Elephas maximus indicus: one gene and its partner. The protein of the gene in region 2 purifies or fractionates together with the protein of the main gene of each other region. This does not show direct contact. Links are inferred from orthologs where the notes say so. Each region holds a gene or a part of one and is shown on either strand. Other genes may lie near its edges. The genes, in order: BBS4 and BBS7.

Region 1 (15,744 bases), on a different chromosome or scaffold from region 2:
ACTTAAAGCTCAATAAAAATTATTAAAAAAATGTTTTTAGTTAACAACAATGACAAAATAATAAAATTAAAGAAAAATGGTTTCAGTTACGTATTTTATTAACTAGTTTTTTAATTAAAAAAATTCATGGATAATACAAAATTAAAATTTTATATAGTGGTACCCAATGAAAAGCTGATCACATTCCCGTCCTAGGCCCTATTCCCCTAGATTCCAGCCACAGAGACAAACATCATTATCGGTTTTTTGTGATTTCTTCTAAAAATTATATTTATAAAATGTACATTTAAATATTTTCCCTTTTAATTTTTTAAAAGCTACGTAATCACTCTATATTTTCTACATTTGCTTTTCCACATAACTATTTGACCATCTTGAGGTCTTTTACAGGCTGTATAATATGCCCTAGTATGGATATACTTTGGCTTATTTAAACAGTCCCTAGTAATGGACATTTGGGTTGTTTCCAGTATTTTGTCATAAATGCAATATATGCCCACATTCGCCATTAAGTACATCTGTAGTATCAAGAAGTGTGTATATTTAAAATGCTACATGAAGGCCCCTGGAGCTTCATATTATTTTATTTTTATTTAAAAGAAAATTTATTGTGCATTAGGTGAAAATTTACAGAGCAAATTAGTCCCATTCAATAGTTTGTACGTAAAGTGTTCCATAACATTGGTTTCATTCCCCACAATACGACAGCACTCTCCCCATTTCTGTCCTAGATTCCCTGATTCCTTTTGTCCTGCCTTTTTATCCCTTCCTGCCTTCTCATCTTTGCTTTTTGACAAATGTTACCCTTTTGATCTCACATAATTGATTGTTCTAATGAGCCCATTCCTCCTGGGTGTTATTGTTTATTTTAAGGACCTGTCTCCTGGATTGACTTTAGTTACAGTTCAGAAGGGTGTCTTAGCACCATAGTCTCAGGGGTTCCTCCAGTCTCTCTCAGACCAGTAAGTCTGGTCTTTTTTGTGAATTTGATTTTTGTTCTACAATTTTTTCTCCCTCTGTTGTGATCCCAGTCAGAGAGGTCGATAGCAGTAGCCGGGCACTATCTAATTCCTCTGGTTTTGGGGTCATGTAGGCTGTGGTTCGTGTGGTCCATTAGTCTTTTGGACTAATTGCTGTCTTGAATCTTTGGTTTTCTTTACTCTCCTTTGCTCTGGATGGTAAGAGATCAACAGATGTATCTTAGATGGCCAATCAGAAATTTTTAAGACCCCAGATGCTACTCATCAAAGTAGGATGCTGAACTTTATGGATTAAGTTGTGCCAGTTGATGTAGATGACCCCCAAGTCTATAGTACTTTGCCTTTAAATCTAGGAACTTCATCCCATGAGAAATTTGGTTTTGTCTAAGAAGTTGCCCTGACTGTGGCTCTTGTGTACTCTATTGTCTATAGTAATATATAAGCAGCACCTACAGTTATGTATGTAGAAATATCTATGACCTAACCTGCAGGTGGGTGTGTTCCCTTACACCCTTCCACACCTCTTGGTGTACCTATCAGTTTATGTATCTAGCTATAAATTAGTGGTTGTTAATACTATTGTTGCAGGGTTGTCTATGCTATCATAATTGCCATTGTTGCCCTTTGTTCTTGCATTCCTCTTAGTGTCCTCCCATGCCTTGGTCCTGTTTTGTTGATTTCCCCCATATAGTGTATTGTCTTTCCCTTTGCCAATATTAACACATGCCTTGTATCTATTTGGTAATTTTCCGTCCCTTCCCCTCTCATCCCAGGTAACCATCAAAGAATTTCTTTCCATGTTTGTAAACCTTTTCTTGTTTCTTTATGATAGTGGTCTCATACAATATTTCTCCTTTTGTGACTGACTTATTTCACTCAGCATAATGTCCTCCGAAATTCATTCATGCTGTGAGATGTTTCATCATTATCCTTTATCGTCGTACTGTATTCCACTGTGTGTATGTAGCACAGTTTGTTAATCCATTCATCTGTTGATGGGCACTGCTTAATATTATTTTAAAGTAGCATTTCCAAAACTGCTGGCTGGGCTCTAAGGAACGGTGGTATGGGTTTGGGGAGGACTGGACATTTCAAAAGTGGCAGAAGGTGCTAGAGAGTTGTCTAGCAGGTGTGTTAGAACAAAGCTAGCTGTGGACCTCAGGAAAATGCGATGACATTAAATTTTTTAAATGTAAAAACTCAACTACAACTCCTTCTTTATGCACATACTGGGGATGTTAAAAAGTTACTAATGCCTGATTTCTCCCTGCCTCCTCAGCCCCCATCACGAGGAAAAGACATAAATACCATTTTGTTTGGAATGCCTTGGCCAGCTATATGATTTGACTGATCCTGATGATGATCGAGGAGTTTTTCTAAGTGAAATGAAGACTGCCACATTCTTTATGTGATTTCTGGGATTTTCCTGTGAAGATAGTATGTATTATGAAGAGATTTTTCTATTACCAAAACTCTAGCCAATAGAATTCAACAACATATCAAAAAAATAATTCATCATGACCAAGTGGGATTCATATCAGGTATACAGGGATGGCTCAACATTGGAAAAACAATCAGTGTAATCCATCACATAAATAAAACAAAAGAACCACATGATCTTATCAATCAATGCAGAAAAGGCATTTGACAAAGTCCAACACCCATTTCACATTAAAAACTCAGCAAAACAGGTATAGAAGGGAAATTCGTTGACATAATAAAGAATATTTATACAAAGCCAAGAGCCAACATCAATCTAAATGAAGAGAGTCAGAAAACATTCCCCTTGAGAACGGGGCCCAGACGAGGATGCCCTTTATCACCACTCTTATTTAACATTGTGCTGGAGGTCCTAACCAGAGCAACAAGGCAAGAAAAAGAAATGAAGGGCATCCAAATTGGTAAGGAAGAAGTAAAAGTATCCCTATTCGCAGATGATATGATCTTATACATACATAACCCCAAAGAATCTACAAGAAAACTACTGGAACTAATAGAAGATTTCAGCAAAGTATCAGGATACAAGATAAACATACAAAAATCAGTTGGATTCCTCTACACCAACAAAAAGGAAATCACCAAATCAATACCATTTACGATAGCCCCCAAGAAGATAAAATACTCAGGAATAAACCTAACCAGAAATGTAAAAGACCTATACAAAGAAAACTATAAGACACTATTGCAAGAAACCAAAAGAGACCTACAAAAGTGGAAAAACAACCATGCTCATGGGTATGAAGACTCAACATCGTGAAAATGTCACTTCTACCCAAAGCGACCTACAGATACAATGCAATCCTGATTCAACTTCCAGTGGCACTTTTTAACGAGATGTAGAAACAAATTGCAAACTTCATATGGAAAGGGAGGAGGCCCCAGATAAATAAAGCATCACTGAGAAAGAAAAACAAAGTGGGAGGCCTCACACTACCTGATTTTAGAAATTATTATACTGCCACGGTAGTCAAAACAGCCTGATACTGGTACAGCAACAGATACATAGACCAATGGAACAAAATTAAGAATCCAGACATAAATTCATCCACTTATGAACAGCCGATATTTGACAAAGGCCCCAAATCTGTTAACTGGGGGAAAAGATAGTCTCTTTAACAAATGGTGCTGGCATAACTGGTTATCCACCTGCAAAAAAATGAAACAAGACCCGTACCTCACACCATGTACAAAAACTAACTCAAAATGGATCAAAGATCTAAATATAAAATCTAAAACAATAACAATCATAGAAGAAAAATAGGGACAACACTAGGAACCTTAATACATGGCATAAGCAGAAAACAAAACATAACTAACGATGCATAAACACCAGAAGAGAAACTAGGTAACTGGGAGCTCCTAAAAATCAAGCACTTAAGCTCATCAAAAGACTTCACCAAAAGAGTAAAAAGAGAACATACAGACTGGGAAAAAATTTTGGCTATGACATATGCAATAAGGGTCTAATGTCTAAAATCTACAAGATACTGCAACACCTCAACAACAAAAAGACAAATAACCCAATTAAAAAATGGGCAAAGTATATGAACAGACACTTTATCAGAGAAGACATTCAGGTGGCTAACAGATACATGAGGAAATGCGCACGATCATTAGCCATTAGAGAAATGCAAATCAAAACTACAATGAGATACCACCTCACCCCAACACAGCTGGCACTAATCCAAAAAAACACAAACTAATAAATGTTGGAGAAGTTGTGGAGAGACTGGAACACTTGTCCACTGCTGGTGGGAATGTAAAATGGTACAACCACTTTGGAAACCGATTTGATGCTTCTTAAAAAGCTAGAAATAGAAGTACCATACGATCCAGCAATCCCACTCCTTGGAATATATATTAGAGAAATAAGAGCCGTCACACGAATAGATCTAGGCACACCCATGTTCATTGTAGCACTGTTCACAATAGCAAAAAACTAGAAACAACCTAGGTGCCCATCAACAGATGAATGGATAAACAAATTATGGTACATGTGCACAATGGGAATACTAGCAACAATAAGGAATAATGATAAATCCAGAAAACATCTGGAGGGCATCATGCTGAGTGAAATTAGTCAGTCACAAAAGGACAAATATTGTATGAGACCACTATTATAAGAACTTAGAACCAAAAAACAAACCCATTGCCATCAAGTCAATTCCGACTCATAGTGGCCCTATAGGACTATAGAGTAGTTCTACTATAGAGTAGAACTGCCCCATAGGGTTTCTTTTTTTCTTTTTTTAAAATTTTTATTGTGCTTTAAGTGAAAGTTTACAAATCAAGTCAGTCTCTCACACAAAAACTTATATACACCTTGCTACATACTCCCAATTGCCCCATAGGGTTTCCAAGGAGCACCTGGTGGATTCGAACTGCCAACCTTTTGGCTAGCAGCTGTAGCTCTTAACCACTATGTCACCAGGGTTTCCATAAGAACTCAAGAAAAGGTTTAAACACAGAAGAAAACATTCTTTGATGGTTACCAGGGTAGAGAGAGAGGGAGAACAGAATTCACTAACTAGATAGTAGACAAGAATCATCTTAGGTGATACTCCACTGGTCTCACCCCATTGGGAGCAAGAGAGAATGAAGAAAACTAAAGACACAAGGGAAAAATTAGTCCAAAGGACTAATGGACCACAAGACTCAGTCCAGCACAACTAAGTGGTACCCGACTACCACCACCGACTGCTCTGACAGGGATCACAATAGAAGGTCCTGAATAGAGCTGGAGAAAAACATAGAACAAAATTCTAACTCACAAAAGAAGACCAGACATACTGGCTTGATAGAGACTGGAGAAACCCCAAGAGTATGGCCCCCAGACACCCTTTTAGCTCAGTAATGAAGTCACTCCTCAGGTTCACTCTTCAGCCAAAGATTAGACAGGCCCATAAAACAAAATGAGACTAAAGGGGCACACCAGCCCAGGGGCAAGGACTAGAAGGCAGGAGGAGACAGGAAAACTGATAATAGGTAACCCAGGGTCGAGTAGGGAGAGTGTTGACATGTCATAGGGCTGGTAACCAATATCACAAAACAATACTTGTATTGTTTAATGAGAACCTAGTTTGTTCTATAAACCTTCATCTAAAGCATAATAATAAATAAAAGAAAAAAATAGAGTCATCTTAGGTGAAGGGATGGCCCACATATAATACAAAGAAAGTCAGCACAACCGGACTAAAGCAAAAGCTAAGAAGTTTCCTGAACAGAACCAAACACTTTGAGAGACACAGTAGCTGGGGCTGGGGTCTGGGGACCATCTAGGTCAACTGGCATAATAAAATTGATTAAGAAAATGTTCTGCATCCCACTTTGGTGAGTGGCATCTGGGGTTTTAAAAGCTCTGTGAGTGACCATCTAAGATGCATCAATTGGTCCCAATCTGCTTGGAACAAAGGAGAATGAAGAACACCAAATACACAAGGAAAATATTAGCCCAAGAGACAAAAGGGCCACATAAACCAAAGATTCCATCAACCTGTGACCAGAAGAACTAGATGGTGCCCAGCTACCACCAATGACTGTCCTGACAGGGAACACAAAAAATGGTCCCCGACAGAGTGGGAGAAAAGTTTGGAGCAGAACTCAAACTCACATTAAAAAAAGACAGACTTAATGATCTTGACTGAGACTGAAGGAACCCCCAAAGCCATGGCCCCCGGACTCTCTGTTAACCCTGAACTAAAACCATTCCCAAAGCCCACTCTTCAGACGAAGAGTAGACTGAGCTATAAAATAATACTCATGAAGAGTGTGCTTCTTAGTTCAAGCAGATCTACAAGACCAAATTGGTGACTCCTTTCTGGAAGCAGGATGAGAAGGCATGAAAGGACAGGAGTTGGTTGGATGGATACAGGAAAACCAGGGTGGAAAGGGAGAGTGTGCTGTCACTTTATAGGGATTGCAACTAGTGTCACATAACAATATGTATATAAGTTTTTGTATGAGAAATTAAGCTATAAACTTTCACCTAAAGCACACACACAAAAAGAGTACAAAAAAATACAATAAGACAAATAAAAATGATAACTATGATAAAGCAAACTCTTCCTTTGTTATTTGCATGGAAAAAGAGGACATTAAAACAAGAGTTAATATCACAGTGTAATAAAGAAAGCCACCATAAGAAAACCAGTAATCAGGAAACAAAGTCCAAAAATTTCAGTAGGTTGCATGAAATCTTGTTCTGTGATCTTGGGAGGAGCTGTGTACTTTGACACCATCTGGTTCTGGCCACAAGGGTGTTTGAACTTCAGTTTAAATCCTTCAGTAGGTTTAACAGTCCAGGCAGGGGCTTCAGCTTTCTCAAGTTGGGATAACCCTGCTTCCACTCCCCTCCCCCCAGAAAAACCCTAAACGCATTGCCGTCAAGTCAATTCTGACTCATAGTCAGCCTATAGGACAGAGTAGAACTGCTCCATAGGGTTTCCAAGGAGTGGATGGTGGATCTGAACTGCCAAACTTTTGGTTAGTGGCCAAGCTATTACCCACTGTGGCACCGGAGCCCCTAATTTGGGATAAGCAGATCCAAATTTTAACCTCCTATAATTTAGCAGCACAAGGGTTAGTGACAAAGACCAAAGACAGTCCTGTCCAATGAGACTCCAGGGAATCTTGTAATTGGTGCCTCTTTTAGTATACACAGTCACCTGGTTCAATAGTAGGTAATTTTTGTATTTCTAAATTTTGCCTGTCAAAAGCTTGTTTGATTCAGAAAAGGTGCTCTTTAGAGTACTGAATCAAAGACTGACAATATTTAAATAATTCTGGTTGAACTAAATTAGAATCAGAATAAGATGAAAAGTAAAAATGAGCCATAGGTCTTCCAGTAATAATTTCATGTAGGGTTAATTTATGTAACCCAATGGAGTGGATCTCAAATTTAGAAGGACTAATGGAAGGACCTTAGTCCAGGATAAGCTTAAGGACTCAGAAAGCTTGACTAATTGAGTTTTTATTATTTCATTAGTTTTTTTCTACTTAGCCCATAAGATTGTGGATGGTAAGGGCAGTGAAATCTTTGATAAATACGAAAAATCTTACATATTTCTTTAATTACTTGTTCAGTAAAATGGGTTCCCCTGTCACTGCAATGAATTGTAGGTTCTCCCCAAGTGGGGTTATGTTTTCAAGAAGTTTCTTAGCTACAAAGGTTGTAGCTGCATGGTGGCTAGGAAAATCTACTCTATGTGAAAATCTGAAAATCATCACTACTACGTATTTGCAACTATTTGAAGGTGGGAGCTGGATAAAATCTAATTGCCATTCAAGCATAGGTCCTGAAGGTAATGAGCATTTCCCAGGTGAAACTTTAAAAGGTTTGTCTGGGTTATAGCGAGAACATATAGAGCAATGAGAGGCAGCCTCAAAAAACTGTCCCCACCAATACTTCTTTTTCTGTCTCAGGACAACTTGGGTAGTTGGGACAGAAATTTGACATTGCAATTCCTTATTTTGTTTAGTTAATTTAGCAGAGAAACTATTTTACTCTTATCACATATTCTAGATACTGCAAAATACCAATTAAAATAAGCATCCCATTGTTTTTGTTCCATTTGCGAGCCTTTCTTTTCTAGTTTACTGCACAAAAAACTCTGTTTAATTATGGCCACATATTTTTTCAGACTGTCCTTAGAAAGACTATGCTAAGCAGCAGGTACAAGCAGGCAGCAGAGCCACAGTGCTTGTCCATATATCAGACAGGAGTCCCAGAAGGGAATTCCATATAGCCCCTAGATATGGCATTTCCCTTTTTAAAAGAAGGTTCAAGTTTGTTCAAAGTTTTAGACTCTCTGACTGGACAAAATCTTATGGAGCCTGATATATCACAAACTTGAAATCCTGTAGGACAGCAATTTGCCAACTGGCCCAGAACCTCACACTACTGCCACTAGCAGAGGCAAATTCTTGCAAGAACAAAGTCAGAACAAAATTAGACAGATCCTTCAACAAATCTCAAAGAGCTCAACACAAGAAAGCAGAGCTTGGAATTTGAGAGGCCTTACTCTAACTACTCCCCAAAATTTGTGGAGACGGATGAATGCAATGAGCTCATGTTGGTGACAGAGCTCAAGGTCCTCAACCTCTTAGGATCACTGAAGATAAGGCCCCTTTGAATCCTACTTCCAACACCAAGGAATGTCGAAAAGGAACTGGAATCCCTGTTAAAATTAAAGCAAAGAGTTTCATTAAAGGAATAAAATGATTTGGATTGGGCATCACTTTGTGAAGGTTCACAAAAGTGCTCCAGTGAAAGGATTTTTTCACAGAGTTTAAGTACAGAAAGTCCAGGAACTTACAAGGAACAAATTCTGATTGGTTGACACAAAATAATGATTTAACAGGCACCAGACAATTGCAAGATCCCTTAAGCATTGTTTTGTTAATCATAAAGTTTCAGTTAACCTCTTGTTAACCTATGGATATCTGGGGGGGCAGCTTGAGTGTGTATTCTTCCTGGAATAATGCTGTGAGAGGGAGGGGAGAGACCGCAGCCTTCCTGAAGTATTCTGGCTTAGCTGACTTTTTGAGATTCAGCTCAGAATGAGGAGTAAATAATGGAGTCCGGCCTACATCTTTTGCAGAAAACTCTCCTCATGCCAAGCACCTAGATTTTTGGGGCTCTTTCATAACTCTACAGTTGGTTCTCTGGGTGCAGGAACTCTGTATGTTTTGTTCATCACATAATTCTGGCACTTGTTGAATGAATGAGGCTCAGAGAAATGACTGGCTGAGGTATAATCAAGACCAGAACTCATGTTTGACTCCCAAGCCCACAGTTTTCCCAGGATAATACAGTGAAGAAACTTTAGCATTTAATTCACCACATCTGGGTCCAGATAGGTAAAGGAAACTGGGGTATGTGCTGCAAAGTAAGGACTGTGCCAAAACAGCCAACAAACGCTTATCTTAAGTCGGAGCCGCTACTCATACTCATTTCATTGCCATGTAGGAAAGTACGCCTATTATCTGCTCTTCTATTTATCCCGAGACTGGGTTTCTGGCATTCTGATGAAACCTCATGATTTTAATATATTTCCAAAAAGCAAGACTGTGGCTCAAACACAGCGTGTTTTCAAACAGGCATAGATACTAATGGGAGGCCGATGAGGCGAATTTGTCTGCAGGATATTGGCAGCTAAGAAACGAAGAGGTTTTGTATGTAAGAGTAGATGAGACTCTGCCATAGGCCCGGGATTGGGGGGCGGGACTCCCGGATGGAGGACTGCAGTAAACGCAGAGCGAGGCCAGAGCAGGGCAGCGAAAGAAGGCCCGAGAACTCCCAAAGACTCGCTGCAGTGCTAGGTGAGGCTGGCCATGTGCACTCGCGCGGCCCAGGGTTTCTCTAGCAGCCTCCCGACTTTAGTGTGGGCATTAGGAGATGCCCAGAATAAAGGGAAAGACTAGGTCCTTCAGAGCCAAGCCTCCAGTAGGGTGGACCCCGACCCCCTCCCAGCTTCCTGAGGTCTCTTGGTCTCCCAGCCGCAGTCTCAGGCTCTGCCACCTACTTCCTTTCCTGCTAGGCTACCCGCCTCATCCGCCGCCGTCCCCAGTCCCACGACTTCCGTTTGCCTAGTCGCCTTGGAAACAGTCGATTTCCGGTCGCGCAGCAGTGGGCGGAGCCAAGATGGCCGAGGAGCGACCTGTGACGGTGAGCGCTGTGATTCTCCGTAGAGTCCAGGCCGCCAGGCAGGGCTGGGCAGGGCAGGGCTGGGCAGGGCCGGGCCGGGCCGGGAGGCGAGACAGGCTGGCCAGCGCTGGGCCCTGGCTCCGGGCCTTAGTCCCACGCAGCCGCTCCTGAGGCTTTGCGGAGTCGGATCCTGAGCTGCTCGGGGTGGGTGGGGCGACGCGATCCCGCTCCTGCTCCCCCAGGGTCTGGCCAGCCCCGACGGGCCCGAATCTGCTGCGGCGGATCCCTTCTAGCACTCTGGTCCCCCTTGGGCTTCGCTGGGCTGAAAAGCGAGATTTTCACCAGAAATGGCTCTTTTCCTAGCTCCGTCTTCTCTGTCTCACGTGGTTTGGAATGGAAGCAGTACTGCACATGAAGAGACAAGTTTTTGTTAATCCCCTGGATTAGGAATTTAATTTGACAAAGCCTGCACGTTTTCATAGCCACTGCCTTCTGCCGGTGGGGTGGGGCCGGTTTTCTCTGTTGTGATTGAGAAAAGCACTGTTTTGGGATTCATTGGAGGCTAAATTAGGTGTTGATTAAACTCTACGGAGCTGCTGATACAGAGTAAAAAGTAGCCCAGATAAATTCAGATGACCCAGTAGTAAGTGGAAGTAATTTGTAAAAAGTCCCAAGTGTGAAACCTTTATCGGTCTACCTTGCTTTAGTGTATTGGGCTTCAGAGCACGTTCCGCCTATTTGTTAGGCTGATTTCAGAATTTATTACCCTTGGAAAAAGTCCCTGGAAGACATAAAACAAACAAACAAACCAACACCAAACCCGTTGCGGTCGAGTCGATTCCGAGTCATAGTGACCCTAATGGGCAGAGTAGAACTGCCCCGGAGAGTTTCCAAGGAGCGCCTAGTGGATTCGAACTGCTGACCTTTTGGTTAGCAGCTGGAGCTCTTAACCACTAGCCACCAGGGTTTCCGTAGGAGGTAATAAAATAGCAGCCTTTGGCTGAGTGATGGGAGATCTCCCAGTATAACTGAGTGAAACTAACCCAATTTGGATCACACAGAAATTCTAATATGCTACCAGGCAACTTACGGGTTATTACTAGTTCCTTAGGGAGGAAAATGGAGACCGATAGTTATATTTTGTACAAGGATATATAATAAATTGTTTAGAGTTCTACAAAAAAAGGGGGGGGGAGCACAAATAGCTCTGTTTTAAGTTGAACAAAGATCTTAGATAACCATGATTTAGAAATTCTTTTATGACTCCCTAATTCACATTATATGAGATATTTGTATGAATAAATGTCTTTTCACCTGTAAATTAAACGATTAAAACCTTTCGGAACGGGGTGGGGGGAATAAAAAACATTAGCACTGCATTGGCTGATCTGGCTCAGATACAGTGCTCCATGAATATTTGTTGTGTGAATAAATAACCATACATAAAAATGAAGAAAGAACCAAAAAATAGAAGGGATTTATTCCATGTGTATCCCAGACTCTGAATGAGGTTAAGTGAGCTGATAGAAATCTTTCCATTTCAGAATGTTCTGGAAAGTCTTTTGAGGAAAAATACTCATTTAAATTATTATAATTTTTGTAGCTTAAAAAAAAAGTTTCCACTGTGGCTAAATATATGTAGCAAGAAATTTCAACAATTTTTATGAGTCTGGTGACATTAATTACATTCATGATGTCATGCAACAGTCACCGCTGTTTCCACGTTTTTCATCACCCTTAAAAAAAAAAAAAAACCGAAAAACTATACCCCTTAAGCAGTACCACCCTTTTTCCCCCTTCCACCCAGCCCTGGTAACCACTGATGAACTTTGGCCTCTATGATTATAACTTATTTTAATTCTACTTTGTGCAAAAAGTAGGGAATTAATCATGAAGCTAGAGGAGACGCTTTTTGAACTCTTAAGATTTTTTCCTTAGTATGTTCCCCAAAGTAAACAAACAAACAAACAAAAAACCCAGTTAGGTGAAAAAAAAAAGTTTAAGTTCTTTAGTGTTTTAAATACAGCTTTATTGAGGTATAATACACATGCCATAAAATTAACCCATTTTAAGTGTACAGTTTGATCAATTTTAGTAAATTTATATAGTTGCACAGTTGTCAACACAGCCCACTTTAGAACATGTCCCTCACTCCAAAAAGTTCCCTTGTGCCCATTTGCACCCATTTTCTATTCCCAAGCCAGCTCCTGCTTGTCTGCTTTCTGTCTCTATAAATAAAAAGCCAAAGCAGTTGCCCTTCAGTCAGTTCTAACTCATGGTGACCCCATGTGTTGCAGGGTAGAACTGCACTCCATAGAGTTTTAAAGGCTATGACCTTTCGGAAGCACATTGCCAGGCCTTTCTTCCAAGGTGCCTCTGGGTAGGTTCGAACCGCCAACCTTTTGGTTAACCATTTGTGCCACCCAGGGATTCCTATAGGTTTTCTTTTTCTAGAAATTTCAAATAAATCATATGACATGTAGTCTTATGTGTCTAGCTTTCACTTTTGTTTTTGAGGTTCATCTGTGTTGTTACGTACAGCAGTAATTTGTTCCTTTCTAAGTAGCGTTCCATCGTATGGATGTATACATTTGTTTATACATTCACCATTTCATGGCTATTTGGATTGTTTCGTGTTTATGGCTATTATGAATAATGTTGGTATGAATGTTGGTAACCAGCCTTTCTATGGACATGTTTTCATTTCACTCGGGTAGATTCCTAGGAGTGGAGTTGCTGAGTTGTATGCGAAGTGTATGTTTAAGAAAACACCAGCAATGGTTTAAGAAAATAGTTTCAAGTAACAAAAGATTTAAGAAGAAAATTGCTTCCTAAGATTTGATTTAATTTTATTTAATTCAGTACTTTTACTCTAGTAATTGGTGCAAACCCCCACAAACACCACAGGGAACAACAGTGTTTTGTGGGCATGGGTTTGAAAACTTTTTTAGGCATTGGAAAGGCAGTCAAGAATTTTAAGTGGCGAATAACACCATCAAATTTATGTTTTTGGCTGGAAAGATCACTTGATGTTAGAGGATGGTATGGAGAGAGGAGATATGTAATGGTTAAAACACAGATTCAGATTAAAAAAAAAAAAAACAAACCCGTTGCCACCTAGTTGATTCCAACTCATAGCAACCCTGTAGGACAGCATAGAACTGTCCCATAGGGTTTCCAGGGAGCGGTTGGTGGATTTGAACTGCCAGCCGTTTGGTTAGCAGCTTAACACTTAACCAGTGTGTCACCGGGGCTCCAGATGCAGACTGCCAGAATCCAAATCCCAGCACTGTTGTTTATAAATTGGATGAGCTGGGACAAAGTACTTAATTTCTCTGGCCTCAATTTCTTCATCTGTAAAATGGGGTCAGTGATTAGTACCAGCTTCATAGGGGTTCTTTTTTTTTTTTATTGTACTTTAGATGAAGGTTTATAGAACAAACTAGCTTCTCATTAATAGTTTGTAGTTAGAGCATTTCTAGTGATTTTTTCTCTAAGTGTTTTAAAGTTTTACCTTTTCCATTTTAGTCTTCAATCTGTCTTAATCAAATTTCATTTTCCTGATGAAGCTTTTTCCCTTAACATCTATTTTGTCTGATTTTAATATTGCAACTTTGGTTTTCTTTTTGTTTCTGTTTGCCTGGTATATCTTTTTGTATCCATTTGCTTTTTAAATTTTTTCTCATGTTTTAGATGTCTTTATACAAATAGCACATGTTTAGATATTTTTAAAGCCATCCTGAGAATATGTCTTCTAACTGGAGAATTTTCTTTTTTTCCTTCTCCCTTGCTTCTTTTTTACGGCTGAGTTTTTTTGTTTGTTTGCTTTTCCCCCGTTTAAGTCCCTCTCCTAGTTTGAAAGTTATATACTCTATTTGTCTTCCTTTAGTGGTTAACAAAGAAAGTTTAAAGTTTAAATTTAAGACATTTAACTTAAATTACTTAATTTATAAAACTTGCTTTCATACTTAATTACAAAAAACTTAGTACTGTTTATTCTCATTTGGATAATACAGGGACTATTGAATGTTTTATCTGCGGGTTTATGCTGTTGTTCAGTTTTGTAGTTCTTTGTATTTTTCAATTCAACATCACAAATTTACATTACTGTTTTTTTTTTGTTTATTTAGTCAGTCAGCTTACAGAATATTTACATGTTTTATCAATTTCTTTACTCGTTCTACTCATGAGTTCTGGGGTTACTCTTTTTCTTCCTGGTATGTATCTTTTAAAAGTTTATTTAGTACGTGTCTAAAAACTCGCAAATTTTATTTGTCTGGAAGTCTTTCAATTTACCTTTGTTTTTTAAAGTTAATTTTGATGGGTATGAGAGCCTAGATCAGGGGTCAGAAAACTTAGTGTGTAAAAGATCAAATAATAGTATTTTGGGGTTTGTCCAGTTTCCAACACAACTAAACTATGCCATTGTGCGTGAAAGCAGCCATGGACAGTATATAAATATAGGAGCATGGCTGTGTTCCAATAAAATTTCATTTCTAGACCCTGAAATATGAACTTTATTTAATTCTCATATGTTACAAAATATTTTTATTTTTCTCAACCATTAAAAAAATATAAAAAGACATTCTTAGCTCACACAATGTATTAAAAAACAGGCTAAATTTGACCCACAGGCCATAGTTTGCTGAATCCTGGCCTACGTTAAAATTCATTTTTACTTAGCACTTAACACACGGAGTCCATTGTCTTCCATTTTTAGTTGTTGAGAAGTCAGCTCTCAGTCCAACTGTCCTTTTTTTGTAAGGTAACATGGTGATGTTTTTTTGCTTTGGCTGCTTTTAAGAACTTTTCTTTGTCTCTAGTGCAGTTCCCTGTGATGTATCTAAGTGTGGATTTATTTATATTTAATCTGATCAAGATTTGTTGAGCATCCAGAATCTAAGGATTGGTGTCCCTCATTTTTCTGGAAAATTTTCAGCCATTATTTTTGCTTACATAGGAGGTTGATACAAGAAGAATCTATTTGAAGGTTTTCTGTGAAGTGGGAGAGTAAGCTAGTATCTATTATGTCTTAGAATTTAGTGCTAGGTAACTTCTATGTAGATGACCTCGTAAGCTTCCTCTTACCAAACAGTGATCGCTTTTTTGGTTTGACTGCTGAAAAGTATAGCAGTAAGTATAATACTAAAATGAAGTGTCTGAGAACTTAGTACATTTATTTGTGCATCTTTTACTATATAATTTTTTATATATTATAAATAAGGAACTCTGGTGGTGCAACTGTGAAGCATTTAGCTGCTAACCGAAAGGTTGGCGGTGGCTGGTGATCTGTTCCTGTAGAGATTACAGCCTCAGAAACCTTATGGAGCAGTTCTGTGCTTCACATGGGGTTGCTATGAGTCGAAAATCGACTTGACGGCACCCAACAACGATGTTGTAAGTATACATTATACATTATTAATAGTTCAGACAGCGAAAGTACAACTTGACACTTGGCTTTTAAACTATGTTCAGAATAATTCTTTGTACCTCTGTGAAGTTCATGGATTCATTGCATCTTTGGTGAGCCACTGATTATTCCTATTATTTGAACGCCTCTTTAAGGTAGCAGGGTATATGGTGCTTTAACGTAGACTTCTGTCCTTTCAGAGAACTCAG
Region 2 (15,985 bases):
TTGATTATTTCACAGGACATGTTCATCAGGCGGTGATTTCTTAACTTTCTGAAGGGATCAAAACCTTTTTTAGTATATGATGAAAGCTACAGACTCCCTCCCCAGAGCAATGCACATTCACAAATAATTATGTACGTATTTTCAGGGGATCTTTGGTATTGGCAGAGACTTGAGATGAAAATACATATAATGTTCAAAGTTTTGAATTTCTGACAATAAACCACTTCCATAATTTACATACCTAAAATTTATTACAGAGATTCTCAAAGTGTGGTCCCAGGACTCACAGGGCCACCAAGACTGTTTTAGGGGGTCTGCAAGGTCGAAACTATTTTTAAATAATATTAAGTCTTTGTCTTCATTAGGTTGATGTCTGCACTGATGGTGCAAGAGCAATAAGCCAAAAATAAAAACCAAATCTGTTGCCACTGAGTCAATTCCAACTCATGGTGACTCTACAGGAAGGGCAGAACTACACCAGAAGGTTTCCAAGGCTGTAATCTTTATGGGAGCAGACCGCCACATCTTTCTCCCACAGACTGGCTGGTGGGTTAGAACAGCTGATCCTTTGATTAGCAGCTTTGTGCTTAACCACGGTGCCACCAGGGCTCCTGCAAAAAAGCAATGGTGGGTAAAGAATTGTTGATGACTGATAAGAGTCAAAACAATGACACCAAACTGTACCAGTGGTCACTGCATTTTTCATCACCATTTGATAGCTAAAAAAAAGAAAAAATGCCAGTTTCACATAAGAATACCCTTGTGGAAGCAGTAAAACATATTAATTTTATTAAACTCCGACCCATGAGTACTTGTCTTTTTAGTACTTACTATGATGAAATAGGAGCTATGCAAAAAGCACTTCTGCTGCATACCAAAACAGTCTCAAGGAAAAGCACTGTGTAACTGAATTACGAGTTGAACTACCTGTTTTTTTTCAAGAAACATCACCTTAACTTGAAAGAACAACTAAGAGCTATAGTTATTAACACTTGGGTATTCAGCATTTTCTTGAAACTGAAGGAAGTGAGCCTGTCACTTTGAAGGAAAAAACTGACAGTATTTGTTGCCATCGATAACACTTGAAATTTCAAGTGAAAATCAGTATTTTGGAAGATTTGTATCTGCTACTGTGAGCCTGACAGCTTCCCAACACTTACTGATTTTTCTGGTGAAATCAATAAGGAGCCCTGCGGGGTACAGTGGTTAATCACTAGGCTGCTAACCAAAAGGCCGGTAGTTCGACGCACTAGCAGCTCCTCAGGAAAAAGATGTAGCAATCTGTTTCTGTAAAGATTGTTGTTGTTGTCAGGTGCTGCCCAGTCGGTTCTGACTCATAGCGGCCCTGTGCACAACAGGAAGAAACACTGCCTGGTCCTGCACCATTCTCACAATTGTTGCTCTGCTTGTGCCCACTGTTGCAGCCACTGCGTCAGTCTAACCTGTTGAGGGTCTTGCTCTTTTTGGCTGACCCTCTACTTTACCAAGTATGATGTCATTCTCCAGGGACTGATACCTCCTGGCAATATGTCCAAAGTATTTAAGACCCAGTCTCGCCATCCTTGCTTCTAAGGAGCACTCTGGTTTACTTCGTCCAAGACAGATTTGTTCGTTCTTTTGGCAGTCCACGGTATGTTCAATATTCCTTGCCAACACCACAATGCAAAAGCGTCAATTCTTCTGTCTTCCTTATTCTTTGTTCAGCTTTCCCATGCATATGAGGCAATTGAAAACACCACGGCTTGGGTCAGGTGCACCTTAGTCCTCCAGGTGACATCTTTGTTTTTCAACATTTTAAAGAGCTCTTTTGCAGCAGATTTGCCCAATGCAATGTGTCTTTTGATTTCTTGACTGCTGCTTCCATGGGTGTTGGTTGTGGATCTAAGTAAAATGAAATCCTTGACAACATCAATCTTTTCTCCGTTTATCATGATGTTGCTTATTGATCCAGTTGTGAGGATTTTTGCTTTTTTTATGTTGAGGTGTAATGCATACTGAAGGCTGTGGTCTTTGATCTTCATCAGTAAGTGCTTCAAGTCCTCTTCACTTTCAGCAAGGAAGGTCATATCATCTGCATAACACAGGTTGTTAACGAGTCTTCCTCCAATCCTGATGCCCTTCATATAGTCCAGCTTCTTGGATTATTTGTTCAGCACACAGACTGAATAGGTATGGTGAAAGGATACAACCCTGACGCACCTTCCCTGATTTTAAACCATACAGCATCCCCTTCTTCTATTTGAACAACTGCCTCTTGATCCACATACAGATTCCTTATGAGCACAATTGAAAGTTCTGGAATTCCCATTCTCTGCAATGTTATCCATAATTTGTTATGATCCACAGAGTTGAATGCCTTATCATAGTCAATACAACACAGGTAAACATCTTTCTGGTATTCTCTGCTTTCAGCCAGGATCCATCTGACATTAGCAATGATATCGCTAGTTCCATGTCCTCTTTTAAATCCGGCTTGAATTTCTGGCACCTCCCTGTTGATTTACTGCTGCAGCCACTTTTGAATAATCTTCAGCAAAATTTTGCTTGTGTGTGATATTAATGATATTGTCTGATAATTTCTGCATTTGGTTGGACCACCTTTCTTGGGAATAGGCATAAATACAGATCTCTTCCAGTTGGTTGGCCAGGTAGCTGTCTTCCAAATTTCTTGGAATAGACGAGTGAGTACTTTCAGTGCTGCATTCATTTGTTGAAACATCTCAACTGGTATTCCATCGATTCCTGGAGCCTTGTTTTTCGCCAATGCCTTCAGTGCAACTTGGACTTCTTCCTTCAATATCATTAGTTCCTGATCATGTTACCTCTTGAAAACGTTGAACATTGACCAATTCTTTTTGGTATAGTGTTTTGTGCATTCTTTCCATCTTCTTTTGATGCTTCCTGCATCAATAAATATTTTCCCCGTAGCATTCTTCAGTACTGCAACTCGAGGCTTGAATTCTTTCTTCAGTTCTTTCAGCTTGAGAAATCCTGAGCATGTTCTGGAAACCCTATGGGGCAGTTCTACTCTGTCACACAGGGTCCCTATGAGTTGGAAGGAGCCCTGGTGGCATAGTGGTTAAGAGCTCTGCTGCTAACCAAAAGATCAGTAGTTCAAATCCACCAGGCACTCTCTTGGAAGCCCTATGGGGCGGTTCTACTCTCTCCTATAAGGTTGCTATTCTGATTTGATGGCACCTACCAACAACAACATGACTCAGAATTGACTTGATGGCACATAACAACTACAACAACAACATAATGAAATGTATCAATATTTGGAAGATCTGTATAACTTGATGAACCAATAATCTCAAATCATCGAGGGTGCAATAAAATCATGCAGGGTTTTTAAAAGATTCAAAGTGCGAGACAGACCAATGGATATTAATGTAACAGAGTATGAAAAGTTCATCAACATGATTTCAGATTCCACATGGCACCTAAAGAAACTATCGTAGGTCAAGGTATTTAAATACTGCTTCCTTTTATCAACTACACATCTGTATGACCCAGATTTTCTTCATACACTTCAACCAAAACAAGGTATCACAACACACTGAATACAGAAAATAAATGAGCATTCGGCTGTCTTTGCTACCAGGCATTATATTAAAATATAAAGCAATGCCTTTCTTCCTGCTAAATTCTTTTTTTGTTTTAGAAAATACCTTCTTTTCACAAAAATGATTATATAAACATGCAATGGATTTATTATTTTCAAATAAAATAATTAGTATTTTAAACAATTCTCAGTTTTAATTTTTATATAAGTATTAATGGATATAATCTATATAAACAAAAGTTCTTTAAGATCATCAGTAATTTAAGAGTGTAAAGGGATCCTGAGACCCAGAAGTTTGTGAATCATTGATCTAATAGGCTGAATACAATAAATGACAATCAGAAACCTACTGCTGTATCTTGATATATACCGTACTCACTTTGAAGCTATTAAAATATCCTATTAGCCTACTAAAACCCCCCCAAAACCAAACCCGGTGCTTTCAACTCAATTCCAACTCAAAGCAACTCTACAGGACAGAGTAGAGCTGCCCCATAGGGTATCCAAGGAGTAGCTGGTGGATTCGAACTGCTGACCTTTTGGTTAGTAGCTGAGCTCTTAATGGCTGCGCCACAAGGGCTCCATACTAAGAAATTGTAATTGCAGAAATCATAAGATAAGTATTTCTATAAAAATAATGATACTATTAAACACAAATGTGTGTAATTATTTACTTAAAGTTTCAATTCCTCTTAGAGATATGAGAAAGTTTAAAGAAATCATTTTGTCTATATCCTATTTTACATTTCCTTCTCCATATACACAATATGATACACACAGAGTAAATTATTAGCAGAAAAAACTATATTATGGTTTTTAACTGGTTTGCTAATATGATTTACTAATTACACATAATGCAATTATAATGTGCAAGAAAATTATTGTGTGTAAATGACCCTTGGTATTCTGACCTCTGTTCAAATAACAAGAAATTCAGTTCCAATTTACTATTAGCATTTTTAAAAAAGCAACTTAACAATGATGAAGGAAATATAAATCTTTCTCTGTAAAACATTATCCATACAGTACCTTTTGTGTAGCTCTATGTTTTGAGGCAGGAAGTAGCTTCATAGTCTTCTGAGCGGTCACTCCTACCTAAGAAAACACACCAGCATTTGCTAAATGTTCTCTTATGCACTGCAATTTGAAGTTATTACATCAGATGTAAAAGAATCACCAGTTTCATATCACAGTGAGTCTTTTTTTTAAACTGCAATTAATGATGTAACTATTATTATCAATGACAAACTTATATTCTAATGAATTATGTCACAAAAGAGAGAATATAGGAAAATAACCAAAAATAGCAAAATATATCCAGAGAGTTGTCAAGCCAAAAATAATTATGTGGCATTACTGGTAAGGTGCTTCACAAAACAATACTTCTAGAAGCCTTTTTTATAAATTCATACTACTTGTTAAAGAGTTTTTTTAAGTGATTAAAAATCTTTGGAAATAGATTAGCTTTATTAAAAACGAAACAGAAAAATTTTGCTAAAGTACCAGACATGCTGATGACTTGATAACATCCAATCTAACTAATGGTAAAGATTATTTTACGTAAGGTAGGGAGGATGAAAACACCATGGCTTGTTCAGCAGGGAACTGTCACTAGTGGTATATACTTAGATGAGAAGTATAGGGCTATTGAGAGAGAAGCTGGAGAAAAAAAAGATTAGGAAAGAACTATGAAAGAACTTACATGTAATACAGATCTATGATTTTATTCTGCATTCTGGGGTGTAGTATTAACATTTAAGGTAATAATCTCTTTAGATTTGTATTTTTGGAATACCAGTCTAGCAAGTAATGCGAAGAATGGACTGAAGGTAGGTGAAACTGCAGGCCAGGAGCCCAGTTAGGAGGTTATTTCAATTATCCAAGCCAGAGAAGATGACAATCTGAACTGGGGTAATGGCCATGGGGGGAATGGGACAGATTGAAGAAACATTTAGAACATAAAAGCAGCAAGATATGGTGGCCAGTTCAACGTGTAAGAGATTAAGGTGAGAGTACCTAGCATGACTCCCAAATTTCTAGCTTGAGGGAAACTGACTGGGCAACCATTTGTACTATTAATCTAAATAGAGGAGATGGGAGAGACAGATAACGAATTCAGTCTTAGATCTATTTCGAGGAGGCTGAAAGAAATCCTGAGAGAAAATGTGGTGTAAGAGAAAGAAAAACTGTGGAATCCAAGACTTTGTTTCAAATAGAGACTCTCCATCATTTCTGGTATTAAGCAAACTGCTTACCTTCTCTAAGCCCCTGGATCCTCATCTGTTAAGACTATCCACTTTGCAGAATCTTTTATGAGGACTAAATATTTACGTAAAACTCTTAGAATGAACTAGATGATCACTAATGGGTTGCCACTGCTTTTCTTATGATCTGCCTGGTGCTGTCCGGCTCAAAGTTGGGACCATGGGTCTGGCGCTCGGGAGAAGGTGCGGGGTAGAGACAGATCAGGGAGCTTCAGGCCCACAGGGAGCCGCAGCCGGGAAGGCGGAGGAAAAGGGCCCTAAAGCGAAATCCGGGGAGAGCACCCTCAGCAGGCGCCAGGTCCGCGGGGGCGTGTGTCACTTCTTTCCAAGTCCCAGCGGACCGTCACCCACCAGCCGGACCTGCCCGCTCCCCGCGAGAGGGTCGCCGGGAGGGCGGTGCCCGGCCGGGCTCTTTCGCGCCCAGCCCGCGTCCGCACCGGGAGACCCGGACAGAGGTCTGTGGAAGAACGAATCCTCTCAGGGCGCGAAGCTCAGCCAGCGCGGCGCTTGCCCCACCCCCTCGGATTTACCTGTAAATAATCTGCTCGGTTTAAATTCAGATCCATGACGGCTGCACTGACGCGCCGGGCAGCGCCGGGCCAGAACAGGAAAGACAGGCGCTGCGGGCCCTCAGGCCTCGGACCCGGCGACGAAGGCCGCCCGCGTCCCCCTCTGAGGTGCAAGCCCACGTACCGCGGCCTCCGGCGGGGGATGCAGGGGTAGGGCGTCGGGGCAGCAGCGTCGGTCGTGACGTCAGTACGTTCACGTGAGTAGTCCCTGGACGAAAATACGCCCCGCCCACGCGCCCACAGCCCGCCTACTACCTTAACCTGCTCCAATCAGAGGCGGTGAGGAACGCAGGACACGGTCCAGGGGACCAAGGTAGGGCGGTTTCCAGGGAGACAAGAGACGCAGTCTTGGCTCCAGCCCTTTCCCTTTGCCCTGCTTTCCTAGCTCTTTCCCTCAGAGCATGCCTCCTGCTGTGTGGAGCTCAGGTTTGAGTCCCCGGTCGACTCTAACCTACTTCACTTCGTTAGTGCGAAGGGAAGAATTCGGCTCCACCGTTATAAGCGTTAGCTTACAATAGCAGTTCTCAAAATTCTGCCCTCAGGGCTTTTTTACAAAACCCTTAAAACTATTGAGGACCCCAAAGAATTTTTGTTCATGTGAGTTTTCTACTGATATTTACTGTATTAGAAATTAGAGCTGAAAAATTTTTTAATTCATTAAAAATAAACCCATTGCATAGATTACATTTTAATGAAAAATACAGTTTCCAAAATAAAAAGAATGGCGTTGTTTGCCTCTATTTATTGTTTGCCTTAGTAGTAGACAGCAGGAGTCCCAGATCTGCTTCTGCATTCTATCTATTGCTATTTGTTATTTTTGTTGAAGTATATGGAGAAAATTTGGTCCAAACTAGTCAAGTAGTCGTTTTTGAAAGGTTAGTTGCAATACGGAGTCTGGCTTCATGATACAGTATCAAAAAATCCTATTTGTTAAAACCGCCACAAATCTCATCAGAAAATTCTTGAAGCATGGGAAAGCTGTCAAACTCATATGGTAGATACAAATTTTCCAAAATTCTAATTTATACTTGAAAACCCGAATTTTAAGCATGGGCGACAAATGTCAGTTGTTTTCCTTGAGCCGATAGGTTCCTTCTTGAATTAATGAGAAAACGTATGCTAAATAACAAGTCCAAATAATCTTAGTTTGTCAGTCGTTCTTTGAAATAAAACTAATGTTCCATGAAAACAGCAGAGTTCTGCTAGCAACTCATATAATCACACAAGTGCATTTCCTTGAGACAATGTACTTCAGTATTCAGCAGAAGTGCTTTATGCGTACTTCCCATGTCATCCCACAATATTAAAAAAAAAAAAAGACATGTACTCAAATTGAGGCTTAAAGTTAACAATCTTTACTGCTCCATGAAGGCCATGTTCATATAAAACCTTATTTGGTTTCCTGCCAGTGTGTGGCATGAAGGATACAGTGCCTACTAATACAGTTTGGAGACATCGTCTTGATTCATACTTAGGCGCCAGCAGTCTTAACCTCCATTGCTTTTGTACCATCAGTGCAAATGTCAACACAGCGAAAAAGGCAAATAATGTCTTTGTGTTACTATGAAGATAGTTTCAAAATTGCAGACCCCAGAAAAGGCCTAAGAGAACCCCAGGGGTCTGCAGACTACACTTTGAACATCACTGGCCTTTTTTTTTTTTATAGTGACCTAGAATCTGACTGAGAGCTGACATTCCTTGACTCACTTTTGTCAATTCTTCCTTAGTTCACAACGCGATCTGCCTGTCAAAATTCAGATGAATATGATAGAGCCCTTTTCCTGATTTCTGTGATCTACTACAGAGGAGGGTTCACAAATGATTGTGAAACAACACAAGAAGAATTAAATCCCTGAGAAAAAGTGAAATTAGGAAGAGAACTGAATTCCTGCAGAAGGATCTGAGAAGATTTTTGCCTAGGGTTTTTCCAGGGTGTTCTGGCCAATTCCTTTTCTGAGGCTAAAATAACAGACAACAATACATGAGGATGGGTTACCTGTTCAGCAATTTGGGGAAAATACATCTATCAATTTAGACTTTACAGAAAAATACTTATCAGAGAAATTTTAGAAGTTAATAGAGAAGTAAAACCATACAGGAGATCAGAGGAAATAAAATTGTGTAGAATTTTATAGAATTTAATATGTTGGAAGGGAATTGTCTCGTCTCAGAGGGAATACAAGAAACCACAAACAAAATCAGATATGAGAAGTAATGATGAATCATTTCTATGTCACAAAAATAAAAAAAAAATTAACAAAAATTTGGGAAAACATTTACAAAGAGTTAACTTCTTTAAACAAATTAATAAAATTAAGAAATACTATGACTCCAATAAATGAACAGGTAACGATATGAATAGACAGTTCACAAAAGAGGTGACTACTGAACAAACATGTAGAAAACTACTACTCTCACTGTAATCAATCATATCAAAGCAGGATGTCTTTCTATTTTGCCTTTCAAATTGGAATGTAGGTTTAAATGATAACACTGTATGCTGTAAGACACACTCATCAACTGCTTGTGATGGCATAAACTAGTAATAAAACCTTTTTCAAAGTCACTTTAGCAATAGGCATGGCAACCTATAAACCTAACCTTTTACCCCATAAACCTAACTCTGAATATTTAGTCTATGAAAACAACAGGAAGTAGTTAAGAAGTCATAATTGAAACAATCTTTAAATTAGGGACCTAACTGTCCAATAATGGGGGAATGGTGCATCGACTCTGTGGACTATATACAAGTGAAAATAATGAAGGCTGTATAGCAATGTGAAAAGCATTCCAGTTATACGGATAAGTTAAAAGGCAGGAAATAAAATGGTGTGTATACTATGACCACAATTACGTGAAAGGACTGTTGAGAAATACATTAGGAAGTTTTAGTTGGTTATTAATTGAAAGATTATGGGCTTTCACCCCCTATTTTTTCTGTTTCCATAAAATGCTTGCATAATTTGTAATAAAAATTTCCATTTTTTTATTTTTTTTATTAACTTTTATTAAAGTTTCAAGTGAACGTTTACAAATCCAATCAGTCTGTCACATATAAGTTCACATACATCTCACTCCCTACTCCCACTTGCTCTCCCCTTCTTGAGTCAGCCCTTTCAGTCTCTCCTTTCGTGACAATTTTGCCCGCTTCTCTCTCTCTCTCTCCTCCCATCTCCACTCCAGACAAGAGTTGCCAACACAATCTCAAGTGTCCACCTGCTATAATTAGCTAACTCTTCATCAGCGTCTCTCTCCCACCCGCTGACCAGTCCCTTTCATGTCTGATGAGTTGTCTTCAGGAATGGTTCCTGTCCTGTGCCAACAGAAGGTCTGGGGACCATGGCTGCCGGGATTCCTCTAGTCTCATTCAGACCATTAAGTTTGGTCTTTTTATGAGAATTTGGGGTCTGTATCCCACTGATCTCCTGCTCCCTCAGGGGTCCTCTGCTGTGCTCCCTGTCAGGGCAGACGTCGATTGTGGCCGGGCACCAACTAGTTCTTCTGGTCTCAGGATGATGTAGGTCTCTGGTTCATGTGGCCCTTTCTGTCTCTTGGGCTCTTAGTTGTCGTGTGGCCTTGGTGTTCTTCATTTTCCTTTGCTCCAGGTGGGTTGAGACCAATTGATGCATCTTAGATGGCCGCTTGTTAGCATTTAAGACCCCAGACGCCACATTTCAAAGTGGGATGCAGAATGATTTCATAATAGAATTATTTTGCCAATTGACTTAGAAGTCCCTGCAAACCATGTTCCCCAGACCCCCGCCCTTGCTCCGCTGACTTTTGAAGCATTCATTTTATCCCGGAAACTTCTTTGCATTTGGTCCAGTCCAATTGAGCTGACCTTCCATGTATTGAGTGTTGTCTTTCCCTTCACCTAAAGCATTTCTTATCTACCGATTAATCAATAAAAAACCCTCTCCGACCCTCCCTCCCTCCCCCCCTCGTAACCACAAAAGTATGTGTTCTTCTCACGTTTACTATTACTCAAGATCTTATAATAGTGGTCTTATACAATATTCGTCCTTTTGCCTCTGACTGATTTCGCTCAGCATAATGCCTTCCAGGTTCCTCCATGTTATGAAATGTTTCACAGATTCGTCACTGTTCTTTATCGATGCGTAGTATTCCATTGTGTGAATATACCACAATTTATTTACCCATTCATCCGTTGATGGACACCTTGGTTGCTTCCAACTTTTTGCTATTGTAAACAGAGCTGCAATAAACATGGGTGTGCATATATCTGTTTGTATGAAGGCTCTTGTATCTCTAGGGTATATTCCCAGGAGTGGGATTTCAGGGTTGTATGGTAGTTCTATTTCTAACTGTTTAAGATAACGCCAGATAGATTTCCAAAGTGGTTGTACCATTTTACATTCCCACCAGCAGTGTATAAGAGTTCCAATGTCTCCGCAGCCTCTCCAACATTTATTATTTTGTGTTTTTTGGATTAATGCCAGCCTTGCCGGTGTGAAATGGAATCTCATCGTAGTTTTAATTTGCATTTCTGTAATGGCTAATGATCGTGAGCATTTTCTCATGTATCTGTTGGCTGCCTGAATATCTTCTTTAGTGAAATGTGTGTTCATATCCTTTGCCCACTTCTTGATTGGGTTGTTTGTCTTTTTGTGGTTGAGTTTTGACAGAATCATGTAGATTTTAGAGATCAGGCGCTGGTCGGAGATGTCATAGCTGAAAATTCTTTCCCAGTCTGTAGGTGGTCTTTTTACTCTTTTGGTGAAGTCTTTAGATGAGCATAGGTGTTTGATTTTTAGGAGCTCCCAGTTATCTGGTTTCTCTTCATCATTTTTGGTAATGTTTTGTATTCTGTTTATGCCTTGTATTAGGGCTCCTAGGGTTGTTCCAATTTTTTCTTCCATGATCTTTATCGTTTTAGTCTTTATGTTTAGGTCTTTGATCCACTTGGAGTTAGTTTTTGTGCATGGTGTAAGGTATGGGTCCTGTTTCATTTTTTTGCAAATGAATATCCAGTTATGCCAGCACCATTTGTTAAAAAGGCTTTCTTTTCCCCAATTAATTGACACTGGTCCTTTGTCAAATATCAGCTGCTCATACGTGGATGGATCTATGTCTGGGTTCTCAATTCTGTTCCATTGGTCTATGTGCCTGTTGTTGTGCCAGTACCAGGCTGTTTTGACTACTGTGGCTGTATCTGGTTCTGAAATCAGGTAAAGTGAGGCCTCCGACTTTCTTCTTCTTTTTCAGTAGTGCTTTGCTTATCCAGGGCTTCTTTCCCTTCCATATGAAATGGGTGATTTGTTTCTCTATCTCCTTAAAATATGACATTGGAATTTGGATCGGAAGTGCGTTAAATGTATAGATGGCTTTTGGTAGAATAGACATTTTTACAATGTTAAGTCTTCCTATCCATGAGCAAGGTATGTTTTTCCACTTAAGTATGTCCTTTTGAATTTCTTAGAGTAGAGCTTTGTAGTTTTCTTTGTATAGGTCTTTTACATCCTTGGTAAGATTTATTCCTAAGTATCTTATCTTCTTGGGGGCTACTGTGAATGGTATTGATTTGGTGATTTCCCCTTCGGTGTTCTTTTTGTTGATATAGAGGAATCCAAGTGATTTTTGTATGTTTATTTTATAACCTGAGACTCTGCCAAACTCTTCTATTAGTTTCAGTAGTTTTCTGGAGGATTCCTTAGGGTTTTCTGTGTATATAATCATGTCATCTGCAAATAGTGATAACTTTACTTCTTCCTTGCCAATCCGGATATCTTTTATTTCTTTGTCTAGCCTAATTGCCCTGGCTAGGACTTCTAGCACGATGTTGAATAAGAGCGGTGATAAAGGGCATCCTTGTCTGGTTCCCGTTCTCAAGGGAAATGCTTTCAGGTTCTCTCCATTTAGAGTGATATTGGCTGTGGGCTCTGCATAGATGCCCTTTATTATGTTGAGGAATTTTCCTTCAATTCCTATTTTGGTAAGAGTTTTTATCATAAATGAGTGTTGGACTTTGTCAAATGCCTTTTCTGCATCAATTGATAAGATCATGTGGTTTTTGTCTTTTGTTTTATTTATGTGATGGATTACATTAATGGTTTTTCTGATATTAAACCAGCCTTGCATACCTGGTATAAATCCCACTTGATCATGGTGAATTATTTTTTTGATGTGTTGTTGGATTCTATTGGCTAGAATTTTGTTGAGGATTTTTGCATCTATGTTCATGAGGGATATAGGTCTATAATTTTCTTTTTTTGTAATGTCTTTACCTGGTTTTGGTATCAGGGAGATGGTGGGTTCATAGAATGAGTTGGGTAGTATTCCGTCATTTTCTATGCTTTGGAATACCTTCAGAAGTAGTCGTGTTAACTCTTCTCTGAATGTTTTGTAGAACTCTGCAGTGAAGCCGTCCGGGCCAGGGCTTTTTTTTGTTGGGAGTTTTTTGATTACCGTTTCAATCTCTTTTTTTGTTATGGGTCTATTTAGTTGTTCTACTTCTGAATGTGTTAGTTTAGGTAGGTAGTGTTTTTCCAGGAATTCATCCATTTCTTCTAGGTTTTCAAATTTGTTAGAGTACAATTTTTCATAATAATCTGAAATGATTCTTTTAATTTCATTTGGTTCTGTTGTGATGTGGTCCTTCTCGTTTCTTATTCGGGTTATTTGTTTCCTGTATTTCTTTAGTCAGTCAGGCCAATGGTTTATCAATTTTGTTAATTTTTTCAAAGAACCAGCTTTTGGCTTTGTTAATTCTTTCAATTGTTTTTCTGTTCTCTAATTCATTTAGTTCAGCTCTAATTTTTATTATTTGTTTTCTTCTGGTGCCTGATGGATTCTTTTGTTGCTCACTTTCTATTTGTTCACGTTGTAGGGACAGTTCTCTGATTTTGGCTCTTTCTTCTTTTTGTATGTGTGCATTTATTGATATAAATTGGCCTCTGAGCACTGCTTTTGCTGTGTCCCAGAGGTTTTGATAGGAAGTATTTTCATTCTCGTTGCTTTCTATGAATTTCCTTATTCCCTCCTTGAAGTCTTCTATAACCCAGTCTTTTTTCAGGAGGGTATTGTTCAGTTTCCAAGTATTTGATTTCTTTTCCCTAGTTTTTCTGTTATTGATCTCTAGTTTTATTGCCTTGTGGTCTGAGAAGATGCTTTGTAATATTTCGATGTTTTGGACTCTGCAAAGGTTTGTTTTATGACCTAATATGTGGTCTATTCTAGAGAATGTTCCATGTGCGCTAGAAAAAAAAGTATATTTTGCAGCAGTTGGGTGGAGAGTTCTGTATAAGTCAATGAGGTCAAGTTGGTTGATTGTTGTAATTAGGTCTTCCGTGTCTCTATTGAGCTTCTTACTGGATGTCCTGTCTTTCTCCGAAAGTGGTGTGTTGAAGTCTCCTACTATAATTGTGGAGGTGTCTATCTCACTTTTCAGTTCTGTTAAAATTTGATTTATGTATCTTGCAGCCCTATCATTGGGTTCATAAATATTTAATATGGTTATGTCTTCCTGATCAATTGTCCTTTTTATCATTATGTAGTGTCCTTCTTTATCCTTTGTGGTGGATTTAAGTCTAAAGTCTATTTTGTCAGAAATTAATATTGCTACTCCTCTTCTTTTTTGCTTATTGTTTGCTTGATATATTTTTTTCCATCCTTTGAGTTTTAGTTTGTTTGTGTCTCTAAGTCTAAGGTGTGTCTCTTGTAGGCAGCATATAGATGGATCGTGGTTCTTTATCCAGTCTGTGACTCTCTGTCTCTTTATTGGTGCATTTAGTCCATTTACATTCAGCGTAATTATAGATAAATAAGTTTTTAGTGCTGTCATTTTGATGCCTTTTTATGTGTGTTGTTGACAATTTCATTTTTCCACATACTTTTTTGTGTCGAGGCGTTTTTCTTAGTAAATTGTGAGATCCTCATTTTCATAGTGTTTGACTTTATGTTAGTTGAGTCGTTACATGTTTCTTGGTTTTTATCTTGAGTTATAGAGTTGTTATACCTTTTTGTGGTTACCTTATTATTTACCCCTATTTTTCTAAGTAAAAACCTAACTTGTATTGTTCTATATCGCCTTGTATCACTCTCCATGTGGCAGTTCAATGCCTCCTGTATTTAGTCCCTCTTTTTGATTATTTTGATCTTTTACCTATTGACTTCCATGATTCCCTGTTATGTGTATTTTTTTTTAATTAATCTTAATTTGTTTGTTTTTGTGATTTCCCTATTTGAGTTGATATCAGGACGTTCTGTTTTGTGACCTTGTGTTGTGCTGATATCTGATATTATTGGTTCTCTGACCAAACAATATCCTTTAGTATTTCTTGTAGTTTTGGTTTGGTTTTTGCAAATTCTCTAAACTTGTGTTTATCTGTAAATATCTTAATTTCGCCTTCATATTTCAGAGAGACTTTTGCTGGATATATGATCCTTGGCTGGCAGTTTTTCTCCTTGAGTGTTCTGTATATGTCGTCCCATTCCCTTCTTGCCTGCATGGTTTCTGCTGAGTAGTCTGAACTTATTCTTATTGATTCTCCCTTGAAGGAAACCTTTCTTTTCTCCCTGGCTCCTTTTAAAATTTTCTGTTTATCTTTGGTTTTGGCGAGTTTGATGATAATATGTCTTGGTGTTTTTCTTTTTGGATCAATCTTAAATGGGGTTCGATGAGCATCTTGGATAGATATCCTTTCTTCTTTCATGATGTCAGGGAAGTTTTGTGTCAGGAGTTCTTCAACTATTTTCTCTGTGTTTTCTGTCCCTCCTCCCTGTTCTGGGACTCCAATCACCCGCAGGTTATCCTTCTTGATAGAGTCCCACATGATTCTTAGGGTTTCTTCATTTTTTTATATTCTTTTATCTGATTTTTTTTCAGCTATGTTAGTGTTGATTCCCTGGTCCTCCAGATGTCCCAGTCTGCATTCTAATTGCTCGAGTCTGCTCCTCTGACTTCCTATTGCGTTGTCTAATTCTGTAATTTTATTGTTAATCTTTTGGATTTCTACATGCTGTCTCTCTATGGATTCTTGCAGCTTATTAATTTTTCCACCATGTTCTTGAATAATCTTTTTGAGTTCTTCAACAGTTTTATCAGTGTGTTCCTTGGCTTTTTCTGCAGTTTGCCTTATTTCATTTGTGATGTCTTGAAGCATTCTGTAAATTAGTTTTTTATATTCTGTATCTGATAATTCCAGGATTGTATCTTCATTTGGGAAAGATTTTGATTCTTTTGTTTGGGGGGTTGTAGAAGCTGTCATGGTCTGCTTCTTTAAGTGGTTTGATATGGATTGTTGTCTCCGAGCCATCACTGGGAAACTAGTTTTTCCAGAAAATCCACTGCGTCCGGTCCAAATCCTGGCAGGATGGTTCCCTGGCTGGGACGCTGCTCTTCCTGCTCCAAGACCAGTCACTGCCTCCCGGGGACTTCTTCTACCGGCTGCGTCCCACGCCGCCCGTGGAACCGGCTGGTCCCCCTCCTGGGGTTAGTTCAGGGGGGTGGAGCAGCTCTCTGTGCTTGTGCCGTACCTGACTGGTACGCTGGCTCCAGGCTCTGAAAACAATTGCTGCTTCCCTGTATTAGTTCGTTCTCCATCTCTAAATCTGTGTTTTTTGTTCAG

What was found.
Region 1: the proteins of BBS7 (region 2) and BBS4 purify together in Homo sapiens (co-immunoprecipitation; 7 studies listed by BioGRID and IntAct, counting the BioPlex papers as one, with this or other methods). This does not show direct contact. The link is inferred for Elephas maximus indicus from reciprocal best matches to the Homo sapiens genes BBS7 and BBS4.

The regions. Positions count from the first base shown.
Region 1 is NC_064831.1:62,861,761-62,877,504, forward strand, and holds the start of BBS4 (Bardet-Biedl syndrome 4 protein), read left to right. Parts: upstream 1-10,092; 5' UTR 10,093-10,122; coding exon 10,123-10,146; intron 10,147-15,735; coding exon 15,736-15,744.
Region 2 is NC_064823.1:25,330,986-25,346,970, reverse strand, and holds the start of BBS7 (Bardet-Biedl syndrome 7 protein), read right to left. Parts: upstream 6,558-15,985; 5' UTR 6,396-6,557; coding exon 6,360-6,395; intron 4,661-6,359; coding exon 4,595-4,660; intron 1-4,594.